Linked DNA regions of Stegostoma tigrinum. The protein of the gene in region 1 binds, or shares a complex with, the protein of each later gene. Links are inferred from orthologs where the notes say so. Each region holds a gene or a part of one and is shown on either strand. Other genes may lie near its edges.

Evidence for each region. Proteins that work in one complex are often made in the same cells at the same time.
Region 2: map3k5 (region 1) and dcp1a share a complex: the UniProt entries of both Homo sapiens proteins name them as parts of the cytoplasmic complex. The link is inferred for Stegostoma tigrinum from reciprocal best matches to the Homo sapiens genes MAP3K5 and DCP1A.

What each region holds. Positions count from the first base shown.
Region 1 is NC_081357.1:44,909,399-44,917,091, forward strand, and holds the start of map3k5 (mitogen-activated protein kinase kinase kinase 5), read right to left. Parts: upstream 3,071-7,693; 5' UTR 2,828-3,070; coding exon 2,452-2,827; intron 2,425-2,451; exon of another isoform or gene 2,234-2,424; intron 1-2,233. UniProt on the Homo sapiens protein: Serine/threonine kinase which acts as an essential component of the MAP kinase signal transduction pathway. Plays an important role in the cascades of cellular responses evoked by changes in the environment.
Region 2 is NC_081364.1:29,252,582-29,260,172, reverse strand, and holds the start of dcp1a (mRNA-decapping enzyme 1A), read left to right. Parts: upstream 1-4,487; 5' UTR 4,488-4,559; coding exon 4,560-4,772; intron 4,773-7,591. UniProt on the Homo sapiens protein: Necessary for the degradation of mRNAs, both in normal mRNA turnover and in nonsense-mediated mRNA decay. Removes the 7-methyl guanine cap structure from mRNA molecules, yielding a 5'-phosphorylated mRNA fragment and 7m-GDP.

The DNA of each region.
Region 1 (7,693 bases):
GGTATGTCCAGAACTCCAGCAAAGACAAAAAACAGTATTTTGTAAAAGATTCATCAAAACTTCCTTGCTCTTTACATTGTCTGCATGTTTTTAAAGCTCGGGATTCTGTAGACCTTTTAAATCATTATTTCAAACTTCCACTTTCAATGACTCAGGCTCTTATATTCCAGGCCTCGCTGCTCCTGCAACCACTTTAGAATTGTGTGTCATTTATTTTGCTTTGCCTCTCCTTGCTTATCCTACACAAATGTCTCTTTCCACACATCTCTATAATAAATTTGATCTGCTAGGAGTCCACCTATTCCATTAGCCTTTGTTCTTTTAAAACCTCTTTCTTCTATTTAAAGTCTTCTCACCATCCACAATACCTAGAAAGATTTTAAATCACCAGCAATTTCTGAAATTGTGCAGTCTGAAAATCATTTGTCACTCATTTCTATTTCCAGTCAGTCGACTTCATATCAAGTCACTGTCCATTTTGTTCTATAGAAACACAAAAACTGATGGCAAGAATAGGCCATTTGGCCTGTCAAACCCATTCCACTATTCCATGTGGATAATTTTGACAGTTTCTCAACTACCACAGCCTGCACACCTCTCCATGCCTTTATCTTCTAAAAATCTATTTATTTCTCAAATATACTCAGCAACTCTACCTCCACTGCCTGCTGTGGTACAGAAGTCTATTGGTTCACTACACGGAGTAAAGAAATTTCTCCTCATTTCAGTTTGAAATGGCCTGTGCGTAATCTGAGACTGTGACCCCTTGCTCTGGACCCTCTCATCATCAGAAACACTATCTCTGCATCCACTCTGTCCAGCCCTGTCTGCGTTTTATAAGTTTCAATGATGTCTTCTTTCATTCTTCTTAATGCCAGTGAATACAGGCCCAGTCAATCCAATCTCTTCTCAGAAAACAACGTCTGCACAGGGATCAGGCTGATAAAAGAACCTTCAATGTTTCCAGCAAGGCTATGTGGCACTTTACCAAATGCCTTTTGGAAGTTTGTGCATTTTACATCAGCAACCCACGTGAAATGTGTTACCCATTAAAATTTATCCTTAGACCCTCTGAACGAAGACGTAACACTTACATTTCTCCAGTCTCTTGACACCATCCCTGTATCTAAGTAGGATTGGAAGTAATGTGACTGAACTTGTAATCCAGAACCCTGGACTAAAGTTCTGGGGACATCCGTTTGAACTCCACCATGGCAGATGGTGAAACTTTAATTAAAATGCAATCTGGAATTATAAACTTCAGTGTAAGGTAACCATGTAATCAGATGTCAAAACAAAAAAAAATCGAGTTCATTAAATCCTTTTGGGGAAGGGAATCTGTCATTCTTGCCTCTTCTGGCCTAACATGTGACTCCTGACCTGGAAGGTAGTCAACGGCTATCTTGGTAGAGAGATCGGCAATAAATGCTGCCCAAGCCAAAGACTCCCACATCTCAAGAACAAACTGAAAACAAACTGCACTTTCCACCACTGCTTCCTTCAGTATCCTTGGCTACATCCCAACATCTGCTGGTGATGTCAGTTTTTACTTAGTGTCACCCGTTCTAATAAATCCTCTTGAATAATTCTTGGTCCAACCAGGTCTTAACTTTCCCAGTGCTTTCTTCCTTCAATAAGGCAGATGCAATGTTCCTCTGACCAGATAATCAGGAAAAGCACCAAGCAGAACAGTCTAAACATTTATTGATTATTACTCACCTGTGGTGAAGATCAGTATCAGATGAACACAACTGAACCTTGTCAAATTTTATTACAAGTAGTGTTCTCCTTAACATCAATAGTTTGGCAGAACGCAGATCAACGTTACATTTAACTCAAAATTTAGCTTTTTAAAAAATAAATGGAATACTGGTCCAGGCAAAAGTGATTTTGCAGTGGAGTCCATACAGTAGCACCATACAAATTACTCGTGTCAGAATACTGTGCCAACACTGTTAGGTCATGGTTTCAATCTCCACGAGAAACATAAGTCGCCATTAATACGGTCTTTCTGAGAAGTACTGCAACACATCGCTTCGAACCTGCTTTATTTGTTACACATTATTCTGAACGCTTCGGTCTATGCACAGAACAAATGGCAACAAATTTAAACAGACAATTGCTCACCAGTCTCTAACAGATCGAACACCACTCAAGCAATATCTGTGCAAAGACAGCGGCACTTTGGGTACTGCAGAGCGACACAGGCTGGATTCACAGTGCCAACACCAACCTTGTCTCTTTCAAAGTTGTGGCTCAAGTTTCACCCTCCAGTTTACAGTGAGCCACCGGATGAAGCTGGATCCAAGCATTCAAAAAGGTGCATCATTCCAGACTGTAAAGGTCACCTACGGCAATGTTAGGACTCGAGGTCTTCAATTTCCTTAAAACAGAAAAGAGGACATTTGTGCAGAAGCAGCAGGGCTCAGAGCTCTCCCTCTCTCAGCTTACCTGCATTGTAGAAATAATCCAGGACGGCGGTCTCTCCGAAGTCCAGCTTCTCGAAAGGCACAGTATCCAGGGAGGCGCTGACACTCTCGCACGCCTCCCTCAAACACTGCAGAGCCAGGCTCTCGGCGAGCTGCAGCTGAGCCGCCTCGTTCACCACGTACACCACGGTAGTCGGCCGGTTCTTGAGCCGAGCAGCCGGCACTGAGGACGGTACCGAAGCGGCTGCCGTGTGGTCCTGCCAGTAGGTGCCAGCCGGGACACTGCTGCTGGCGCTGGCACTGCCCTGCCCCGGGCACAGGAGCGGCACCGGGACAGCGAGGCCCCCGCCGTCTCCCTCAAGGGCCGCGCCTGCTGCCGCCTCCTGGTCCAGGCTCATATCGGTTAGAGCGAAGCGGAACCGCCGCTGCTGCTGCTGTTTCAGCGACACTATGTCGCCGCTGCGCCTCTCGCTAGAGCGTAGCGAACCAACCTGCTCTCACAGACATGGGAATACGAAGGAATTACATGAACTTGAAAAGAAGCACACTGCAAAAAGCTCGTGATTCCACGCAGCGATATTAATACTTGCAGGAATTAGTCCGATCGCCCCTGCCTGTGTGTATGCTGCTCTGGTTACACTAACCAGTCAGTCCCAAGTCTAGATTTTTAGGGGCTGTCCGATTACCAAAAGAGGACATCCAATCCGAAGGCCCAGTGCAACACGCCAGGAGGAGGCGTGGAGTACAGTATAGCAATAGAGTTTATGCGAGTACCCCACCACTGAACGAGCTCTGGGTGGGATTTTTAAACATGCACGTCATGTTTCAAATGTATTTCCTCACTGCATCTTTGGTTATCTTACAGAGTTACAAATATGGGCTACACTGTGTGTGCCATGTTGATGGCAAACACGCCTTTGATAGTGAACTGTAACTCATGCACTGCGTCAATGTTGGCACTATTTATCAGAGCGCCAATCTTTCTTTGCTTGACCTGGATTCCTAAAGAGCCCCGTCAAGGCAATCATCGGGTCCCTTGCACCCAAACTGGGACAACCTCGTTCCCCCCCACCCCTCCAACCTCCCATTTCCTTCCGTCGCCTCTTGACCTCCCGCAGGTATATTTATATTCCTGCTGGAATCTATTTCTGGAGCCCACGCCTTGAGGAAGTGTGCCCGTTCTTCTCAGATAAGTTTAGACACAATGGGTTGACAGGATGTTTAGTCAAGGGTGGGGTGGCCAGACTGTCAAAATTAACAACCAGGACGCATTGAAAATGTAGGGCTCGCTGATAATTGGTATGTTCAGTCTGGCGGAAGGGCACTTTACGATAGAAGGTCACGTGATGACATCTGGAATATTTCCAGCCAAAGCTGGCAAGTCTATTGAGAACCGGACTTTATATCCTTTAGTACTCTTACATAAAACCGAATGGCTTTCTCACCACCACCTCTGCAACTGGATCCTCATGCTTCTGACCCACAGACCACAATCAGTGAAGATTGACAACTGCACCTCCTCCATGATAACACTCAACACTGGAGCCCCCCCTCTCCCCCCCCCAGGATGCGTTCTCAACCCCCTACTGTACTCCCTGTACATCCGTGGATGCCAAATTCTGAATGAACGCCATCCATAAGTTTGCTGATGGCACCACTGTGGTAGGACAGATATCAGCCAGCGATGAGTCAGAATACAGAAAGGAGATAGAGAGCTTGGTGATGTGGTGCAACAAGAACAACATCGCTCAATGTCAGCAAAACTAATGAATTGATCATTGATTTCAGAAAGAGGGGAGAACACACCCCCAAACATCAGTGGTGCTGAGGTTGAGAGGCTGGAGAGCATCAAGTTCCTCAGAGGGACGATAACTGACAACCTGTCCTGGACTTTCGACATAGATGTGACTGTCAAGAAGACACACAACATCTCTGTTTCCTCAGACAGCTCAGGAAATTTGGCATGCCCACAAGATCTCTCGCCAACCTTTACAGATGCACCATTGAAAGTCCAGGTGTATGGCAACTGCTCTGCCCAGAACCATCAGAAGCTGCAGAAGGTGTGGGCACAGTCCAGACCATCATGGAAACTAACCTCCCATCCGTGGACTCCATTTACATGGCCTGTTGCTGTGGAAAGGCTGCCAACATGATTAAAGACCCATTACATCCAGCAATGCTCTCCCATAACCACTTCAGTCAAGCAGAACATAGAGAAGCCTGAACACATGTACCAACAGCTTCAAGAATTGCTTTTCTTTGCCATTACTAGATTGATGAATGGATTCTCTAACTTCAAAATATGCCGATCTTGCTAATGCCGATCTTGCCTAGTGCACACCCTGCGCGATGTAACTTGCAAGTGGTATGGAGAGGAGGTCGAACCTCTCTGATAATTAAAGTTGAAACACAAGCTCCCAGTCTGTTACAGCAGGAGCCAACTAACAATAACATTCACAACACAACCTACAAATCTGCTCTAAAACTTAGAAGCAGGAGTAGAGGTCCTCTTCCAATAATTAAACCCAAATCATCCAAAGAAGCTTGCCTCACCTCGCCTAATCTGTGAAAAAGTGCGGTTAAATGAAAGAAAATCCCTGATATTTACTTTATAAGTAACAAGTAACAATTTATTTATTTAATGCTAACAGTGAATGCATTAACAGAATTACTAACAAACTGAATAATTCCCCCAACTCCTAACCATTTCCTAACTGAACAAAATTCTACTGGTATGCTGTTCCACTAAACACAAGTCCCCCTTATATAACCCGTGTAATAAGAAAAAAAATTAAAACTTTGTCTCTCAAAGTTTGGGAATGCTCTACCTTCTCCGCTATCGTTCCAATCATAAACACGTTTATTCTACTAATCTTGCTGTTAGGGATGTTTTCTCTATGAATTCTTCTGTGAGGACTCTTAACTAACAGTGTCATGGTACCTCTTATGGATACATGGTGCTTTCTTAGACAGCTTATTGATTTCTTGAGAGAGCTAGATGCTTATGTCTCAGATGGCAGTTTGCTCTCACCCTGATTTTCAAAAACCCTCTGCTTACATATCTTGGATGACATATCAGCTTTCTTACAATCCTTCTAATTCATGAACTCTATGCAACTTCATAACATATACCTCTGTCTAACTTTTTTTTCACCCAATGATCTATGTGTCCTTGCTGAATATGATCTGCCTGTACAGCTCATAAACAAAGCTTTTCACTGTACTTAGCTACATGAGACAATAAATTAAATCAATCACCATGATATATTTTCCTTTGACTAACTATTCTCAATGCAGCCAATTAATTATTTACATGCAAAGACCATTATGGGTAATGCAAAGCATCAAGTATGAGGGAAGGGTGGGGGAAGCAGAAAGTGGCTAAATCAAAATGGAATTGGTGGGTCTAGGCCCGAAACGTCAGCTTTTGTGCTCCTGACGGAATCCTATATCCCATTCCAAATTTAATATGCAATATATAATATTTTCTAACCACAGACATTTTCAGCCAAATGCTGAACTTTAAACAAACAACTGTAGATGACGTGTGCATGGCTTTTGTAGCCTTTCAGCTATCATACACCAGGGCTGAAAACTGTAGATACACTCAGACTAGTTGTGCAGTGAATGTATATTGTGATTATTAAGAATATTAAAATCATGTTGAAGCATTTCAGTATGCTGTGTGAAGACAAGATGAATTTTATTGTAAATACTGTAATTTTCAAGTGGAAATACTGGTCATGTAATTTTACAAACTATATGAATTTGACTTAACAAAAGTAATACCAGGAAAAGGCAGACTTGCCATAAAACTGGAAGAGGAGATTTCCATAAACAGTTTGTGCGTTGCTATACTGGGAAGAAGATGACAATATAAAGGGTAATATTCCAGTTCTGAGGAATTGTTTGTATTGAAACTGAACAGGAAGAATCTAATACAGCCGGTTAGTTGTGTGCGTGGTTAGAGGTTTTCTTTGCATTTAAACTGACAGCAAGCTAAATTAAGGCCTTGCTAATTATACAGTGTCAGACACAACTCCTTTTCATCAAATACTCTAACTCATTGCGTCCAGGAAATAACAACTAATGCTCCACCCAGATTTATCACTGAGAACTGCCAAAATTGAGAGAGTAGGAGTTGAACCCCATTCCTCAAGTTTCCAGCTATTCAGTTTTGTTTTCATAAACTATTTCTGGTAATATTACAGTACTGTAGTTTGAGAATCAACATTTAACGTAAAACACTTCCTCAACTGGTCTCACGATGAATCAAAATATTGAACCATTATGTCATTCTCTATTCATGGTATTGTATCAGAAAAAAATCATTAAGTATAGAAATCTCTTGTTACAATATTTATGATTATGCAAAAACTCTGTTGATCAAAAATGCCTCGATCATCTCAGTGAATTCCATAAATTGCCGTTCTATATAATTATGTAATAGGTCTTTGATTTCTTTTCAATTTTTTTTGCAACACATTACCAGTACTAACAGTGCCACAGATTCAGCCAATACTTCCACGTTTAATTCACAGCAAGCTCTTGAGATTGTTTACATTGGCTGAACATTTGGCTGTTTTTGGCTGGTTATCCAAACCACCTGCAATACTAACTATATTCAGGCAGCTTGAGCTTTTAATCACCTATAAAAAGACACAGCATTCATTTTGAGCACCAAAGAAACAGGGTGGATATGTTGTTATTCTGCAAAAACATTCAACTAATTGAAAATGTAATTAAATACTTTTCTTAATAAGGATCCAGCAGAGTCCAGATTACTACAATTTCAAAATTTGTTGACTTGAGACATAGTTGATTCAAACATTATGTGTAAAACTTTATTATGAGCTGGTAACAGAAGTATTGCTTAGTTTTAAGGGGGTGGGGTCAGTTTTCGCTGTTTTAAGTCAGCTCTGGTCCAGTTGACAGTATTTTCTCCTGAGACAGTGCTGGTAGGTTTAAAACAAACACAGAAAATGCTGAAAAATCCCAGCAGGAATGGTAGCTTCGCTGGTGAGAATCAGAGTAAACATTGCGAGTGCAATATAACTCTTCTCTAGAACTGTAAGGTTGAGATATGGCCACGTACCACTCTAGGTCATAAGCATAAAATGTAGGTACTGATTGTGTTGCACTTTTGGATACGCCATATTTTGCCGATAACTTCAAATCAAGGTCCCATCTATCCTCGCAAGCAGAAGTTCACATGGCATTATTTCAAAGAGTGTGGGTGTTTGCCCTAGTTTTGTGGCCAATAT
Region 2 (7,591 bases), on another chromosome or scaffold:
GCATTTTTGTGGGAAGTTGAATAATAGGAGATGTATTCTAGGAGGTGGGAACACGAGGCGGTGCCCACGAGGAGCTCGTTTCCAACTCTGGCAACCACTTCAAAACCGATATCCATTTCAAGCCTACTGACTCCCACAGCTACCTGTGGAAACAGGGAGGTCCAGGAAGGAGAGAGAGGTATTGGAGATGGTTCAGGTGAACTTAAGGTTGGGGTGGAAGGTGTTAACGAAGTGGATGAACTGTTGAGCACTTTGTGCGCAAAACGTCCTGTTCCTACCTAGAATTTCCCGCAACTCATCCCTCACACCCCCTCCCCGCAATACCTACCAAAACAGAATTCCCCTCATCCTCACATACTACCCCACCAACCTCCGGATCCAACGCATCATCCTCCGGCACTTCCACCATCTGTAATCTGACCCCACTACCAAAGACATTTTCTCCTCCCCACCCTTATCTGCTTTTTGGAGGGACCACTTGCTCCATGACTCCCTTGTCCACTCCACACTCCCCACCAGCCCCACCACACCCAGCACTTTTCCCTGCAAACACAGGATGTGCTGCACCTCCCCCCTCATCTCCATCCCAGGCCCCAAGAAGATCTTCCATATCAAACAGATGTTCACCTGCACATCTGCTAATGTGATACACTGTATCCACTGTTCCCGATGTGACCTCCTCTCCATCGGGTGAAACCAAGCGGAGGCTTGGGGACCGCTTTATGGAACACCCACGCTCCGTTCGCAACAAATGACCGTACCTTCCATTGCAAACCATTTCAATTCCCCGTCCCACTCCTCGGATGAAATGTCCATCCTGGGTCTCCTGCAGTGCCACAAAGATGCCACCCGAAGGTTGCAGCAACAGCATCTCATATTTCATTTGGGAACCCTGCAGGCCAATGGTATCAATGCGGATTTCACAAGCTTCAAAATCTCCCCTCCCCCAACCGCATCCCAAAACCAGCCCAGCTTGTCCCTGCCTCCCTAACCTGTCCTTCCTCCCACCTATCCACTCCTCCCACCTCAGGCCCCACTTCCATCTCCTACCTAGCAGCCTCATCCCACCTCCTTGACCTGTCCGTCCTCCCTGGTCTGAGCTATGCCCTCCGTAACTCCCAACCTACACTCACCTTTACTGGCTCTGACCTGTCTGTCTCCTGTCCACCTATCCTCTTCTTTATCCATCTTCTATCCGCCTCTCCCTCTCTCCCTATTTACATCAGAATTCCCCTCCCTGTCCCTATATCTGAAGAAGGGTCTAGACCTGAAATGTCAGCTTTCCTGCTGCTCTGATGCTGCTTGGCCTGCTGTGTTCATCCGGCTCGACACTTTGTTATCTCTCAACATTAAACCTTCTGTTTTTGGAGCAAGACAAATTTCATAAATACTTGTTCCGAGGAAGGGTCACCAGACCCGAAACGTTAACTCTTTTTTCTCCTCTGCAGATGCTACCAGACTTGCTGAGCTTTTCCAGCAACTTTGTTGTTGTTCATAAATACTTGTATGCTGTAGTTTCACACAGTCAAAGCTGATCATAAGCCATTGAGAGCTATTTTGAATCTAAAGTCAGCAATATCCATTTCAATAACAGCCAGAAAGCAGAAATGGACTTTGATTTTGTCTGCCTAACAGTGAAATGTTAAGTACAAGCAATTGGAAGGTCATTATATTACCAAAGCTTTGTCTGGATTAGCATCCTCATCTGAGATAGAGACCAATATGGATGATGCATTTTGTTTTGCAGATATTAATGAGTTGCCAGTCACTCTGGAAGACATCATGTATTGGCACCGGTATACAACTACATCACGAATGGATGACAACACAAACTCTATTCCAACCTTCTCTGTCAGGCAGAAGAAACAGAAGCTTGGATACTTGCACCAACAGGTTCAAGAACAGCTTCTTCCCTGCTGTTATTTGACTGCTGAATGGACTGCTCAAATTTCAAACCTAAAGTTGATCTTGCTTTGTGCACCTCCTGTGTAGCTGTAACCTTGTATGCCTTGCTCTGTCTAAGCACCCTATGATCTGTACGTCTTTGTTTGCTAATGATCTGCCTGTGCTGCTCATAAAACAAAGTGTTTCACCGTACTTAGGTACATGTGGCAACAATAAAGCAAATGAAAATCAAAAGAAACTAATCAGAAGAGCACGCATCCAGTCTTATGTACAAAGAAGAAGTTACTGGCCAGACAGGATGTCTATTAGCTGAACCTCAACTATCTTCAATTGTCAGAATAAGAGTGTCACAGGGGACTGTGCCTTTCTAGGTAGGTTGGCACAGACCTATTACCTATGTTGGAAAATCAATTGAGCCACATCAGAAATGGCTCAATGCCTGTGGCATGAAAGGTCTATGTGGTGCTGAATTTCTATGTCTCAGGATCACAGCTGAGAATACTGAATGATTTAGGGACATTTCTGGATAGTCCAGATGCAGGTTATCATGCATGTTGTCAACAAGCTTCCACAAACCAGGCAACAGCCTTTATCAGCGGAAGACCTTCTGCACAATGTGCATTTCATCTGTGCAACATTTCAGTCAAGCAACTGTGCCACATACATACTTAGGAAAGACTAGGTGTCAGACCCAATTAGGTACCCAAATATTTGTTCCATCCATGTTCAAGGATGAAACTGGTTGACAAGGGCTGTTCATTAAAGAAACAGCTAACAATGCCTATAAGGCATCCAACAAATATATGCAGTGGATAAATACAACATCTTCTGGGGTTAACTCAAACAATTATCAAGCAGGCCATGGGACGATTCCAATGATAGCTTGATTGCTCTAGTGGAGTCTTCCAAAATGTCACAGAAAGAGTGCTATGTGCCCTGCATAACTGATTACAAAAGACCTCCAGTATTGATGGACACCGATGTTCCATCTCCATGGACACCAGAGCATGGATATATCCAAGAAAAAAGAATCAGATAGTTGGGTCAAATAACTTCCTCAACAGTTCACTGATGGACCTGTTAATTACCAGGCCCATGAGCATGCTAAAAAATAAGTTCTTCAATCTGACTACCCCACATTGCACTGGATGGCTAAGATGTAACAAAATGTTGAGAACAGCCCTCAAATATTGAAAGAGGACATACATTATTGTATAGTGTACATAAATATATCACACAGGCTCCTCAAGACAAGAGAGTAGACAAGATTCACGCCTGCCCCTGAGGTACCCAATGGTTGCAGAAGGTCTCAAATATACTCCCCAGGAGCCCTTGCCACCTCCAGATGGCAGAACATTATGCTACAGTATGTTTCAGTAGCTGATGAGGAAGTTTCTCTGTATAGAATCTTGCTTTGGACTATGGGAAACACAACAGGAGCATTCATCCAAGATTGAAACATGGGACCTGATGCACATTCACTCAACAGAAGTCCTAAAGGAAGAACCCATGTCCCTAGACTAAGGGGTCAACCTCATAGTCTTTTTATGTCTCTTATCAATCTCAAACCACTGCCCATTCCCAATCCTACTTCCTTATGTATCCTGCCAGAAAACAAAACTCTTCTGATTCACGTACAGTTACACTTTCAAAATCATTATCACGCTAAACTTGAAAAGTGCAGATGAACAATCTCCATTGCTCAACTCTTAATAAGCAACTGTGCAATTTTAGAGGCCTGTCAATTGCTACATGTTTGAAATAATTATTTATTGAAGTAGTTTAATTTCACAAAACTTGAGTATTGCCAAAAACAGGAAAAATTTGTTAATTTTGAAAATTTTCTGAATAAGGGTCTAGACCCGAAACGTCAGATTCTCCAGCATCGGCAGTGCCTACTATTCTTCTCGCCAGCAATTTCTGTTTTATTGTTCTGATTTCCAGCACTCGCAGTTTTTTTTAATATAGAGGAAATGTGAGTTTTTGTGGTCGAGTAGCATCCCTCTGGCATTCTATAATGTGTAGAAAAAGAAAATCAAGAATGACTCTCCAAAATAAATCAATGTGTGCACACGAAGCAGTTATTTGTATATCAGGGTACGGCCAGGACTTCGCAGTGAGTTACGTACGCGAAGTGATTCTTATAACTGACTGAAATTCGAATTAAATAACACGCGAACTGCTCCTTACTGTATTTGCACCTGTTTACTGTACCACTTAATCATACGCATACGTTTGCTATTTTTAATGGGATACCTCACCATTTATAAGATTGATGACTAAAAATCTCCCAAAGCTTTGCCGCTGTTATTCCTGCGGATTACCAGGGCTACGCCGGTGCAATAAATTTACTTATGAGCTACACTTATTAACGATACGTTGATGTGTCTGATTTAACAAGTGGTAGTGACACGTTCACTTTGGAATAAGTAATGGTGAGGCACGAGGGACAAATGACGGCTGCAAAATAGTCACAGAAGAATTTTTCAAAATCCTTATTGTAAAGGGAGGGGTAATGCTCGATCTTCACAATTTTATCCCTCATTTAAAAAAACTGCGTTAATGTTTTACCGATGTGAAGCGGAAGAGAAAAAAGCTCCATTTGAATCTGCAAACTGGAAGTGTTGAGGCGTGCGGATATTTTGCTGCAGTGAATGGTTTGTCTTTCCGGGAAGAAGGTCAGGGGGAGGGAACATTTCTTGAGTTTCTCCTTTACACAACTCAGGAAATCCAACATGGAGGCCCTGAGTAAAGGCCGCGATATAAGCCTTTCTGCCTTGAAACAAAATGACCCTTTCATCTCCAGCATCGTCGATGTGACCAGCCAGGTTGCGTTGTATACTTTTAACCCAAAGGCCAGTGAGTGGGTAAGATGGTGTTTCTTCATTTCGTGCTGGGGATGAGGAAAAAGAATAACCAAAACGGCAGCGATCTTTATGAACTGCTTTACTTGCCTGGGAAGCCTTTTGAAGTTTTCGACGGGCGGCTGTGTCTCTGCATTTTGCTTTTGGCCCTGCAGCACAAATTTGTTCAAGTCTAATATCTTGAAGGTCTGAGTGTTGAAGTTAAATAAGAAGGTAGAAACTTAACGGTCAACATTAAACAGCTTGAAGACCTTTTTATACTCTAATTCCATACTGATTCATGTTGCATACGAAACTATTCGCACCAGACTTCATCCTGCGCTATGAAACATAACCTTCTGTCACTTTCATTCTCTTATATTTATCCAATGTCTTTCCTTAATCATCAAATAACATTACTAAAGTTTCTTGAAAAGGCTCAAGTGGCTTGAGACTAGCATTGAATTGTGATGTCCGTATGCTCTTCCTCAGCCAAATCCTTCAGTTTCTTTGGTTAAGAAAAATCGATTGACCTTACAGCAGTTACTATTGGACGAAGAGTCCAAACTTTTCACTCTTTGTCTGTAAAATGTGTTTCTTAACTGCACTCCTGCAAGGCCTGGTTCATACTCTTAGATGTACAATACCTTTGTAATCAGACTCACTGACCAGTAGAAATAACTTCTCTACACCTTTTTACTTGTTCCCACTAACGTTATAAATGGTCAAGAATACAGGCTTAATGTGATTTGTCCGTTTGAGTTTTAATCTGTACAGTCCAGGCAGCATGACCAACTGTTATGAAATGATCGAAGGGACACTTCATCTGGGGTTGATGGGGTTTTCAAGAAATTCCATGAATGAAAATAATGTGGAATTAGAGCCTGTCATCTGCATGTTTGGCTGCTCTTTGAGTATTTTGCCAACAGCTTGGGGTTAATGGGAACACATTGCAACTACACCAAGCCACAATGGGAATTGAAAGAAGTGACTGTAGTTTGTCTTTTTGACTACCTCATGAAAGGTACAGAAATGTAGGACAAATGATATCTCTGGAAATGCAAGTGACCCAATTCTGTTGGGTCACTGAGCCCCTGAATCAATCTGGTAAAACCTGTACTCCACTCTTTCCAAATCTAACGTATCTTTGCTATGGTGTCACTCTTAAACTGCATGTAGTATTTCAGGGCTTTGCATTACTGAACCATACTTGCCTATGTTGAAATTCATTTGATAATTTTGTTAAATCACATGAAATTAGATACGTCCTTTTTATACAACATATATTGTCTATTTTATGTTTTCTGGACAAGCTTGGATGTGTGGATTCCTATTATGCTAAATCAATAGAATATCTACGTTTTCATCATCAGACTCATGGCATCCTGCAATTTTTGTTTTGAATTTGCTATGAAGTATAGTATTTAAAATTGAAACAGTTTGAAAATTCAAATATCATTTTTAAGTTTATGCTTCAAAGAATAGCTCAATAAGATTTCATACTTTAAAACTTGTTGTCACAATTGACTAAAATATATTAAGACTATAAGTTGCTGACAAAATGGAAACAAACAATTTTGGGGAAGTGTCACAGTGCACAAGGAGGCCATTGTGTCTTTACGAGTACATTAATGAGCATCACTATAAGGTGCCAATCTCCTGCTTCGCCCCCACCCTGTGTAACATTCCACATAATTTGGATAGAAATAATCTCCCAAAACCCTCTTGAGTGTCTCAATGGAACCAGATTTCACCACGCTTCAGCTTGTACGTTCCAGACCCTAATTTCCTGCTAATTGAAAAATATTGTCCTCAGTTCTCCCTGGTTCTTTGCAGGTCACTTTAAGTTTATTCCCTTCTGTACTTGCTTTTTTTTTCACAAGTGTGAGTTGTTTTTCCCTATTTGCTGTATCCAATTCACTCATGATTTTGAAAATTTTCCATCATATCTACTCTTAGGACTGTTCTCCTTGCAGAGAAGAAGGCTAACTACTTAAGTTACGAAGGTAGATTGAAGTTCCTCATCCTTAGAACTATTTTTATAAATAGATTCTACGCTCTTTTCAATGCTTTGACGTTCTTTGTAATATGGTGCCAGTTCTGTGCAACATACTCAAGCTGAGATCTAAAAAGTGTCTTGTACAAGTCTATCTCCTTGCTATTGACCCAGTTAATAAGACCAAGGACTATGTACTTTTTACTTATTGCTGTCTCTATACCTGTCTTAGCACTTTCAATGACTTCTGCACATAGGCTCCCAGGTCTATCTACTCCTACACTCCCTTAGAATTCTACCCATTATTTTAGATTGTCTTTCAGTATGTTCTTCCCACCAAAATTCTTCTCTACATTGTCATTTATTGCCCCTATCGTAAACTTGCTAGTGAAATTAACACTACCATCCTTGCATTTTACAATTCTTGCAAGTTTTGTGTTCTCTGAAAACTTTGAAATTTAACTCCTGCACACAAAACCTAGATTATTTAATATATATATTTCAAGAACGAATTACTTGGATCTAGTCCTTGAGACTAAAAGGATCACAAGGTATGGGGAGAAAGTGAAAACATGATACTGAGTGGGATGATCCGCCATGATCATATTGAATTTTAAAGGGCCCACATAGCCTACGCCTGTTCCTACTTTCTGTGCCTCTATATTAGTAGAGGAAAGATCACAATGCTGACCCATGGAACTGAATTGCAAATCTGCCTACAACCCCAAAAAAATCTATTGACCATAGTTATCTGTTTGCTACCACTCCAGCTGATTGTGTATTCATATTGTTACTGTCCCTCTTATACCATGATCCATAATTTTCCCCTCAAATCTGTTATGTAGCA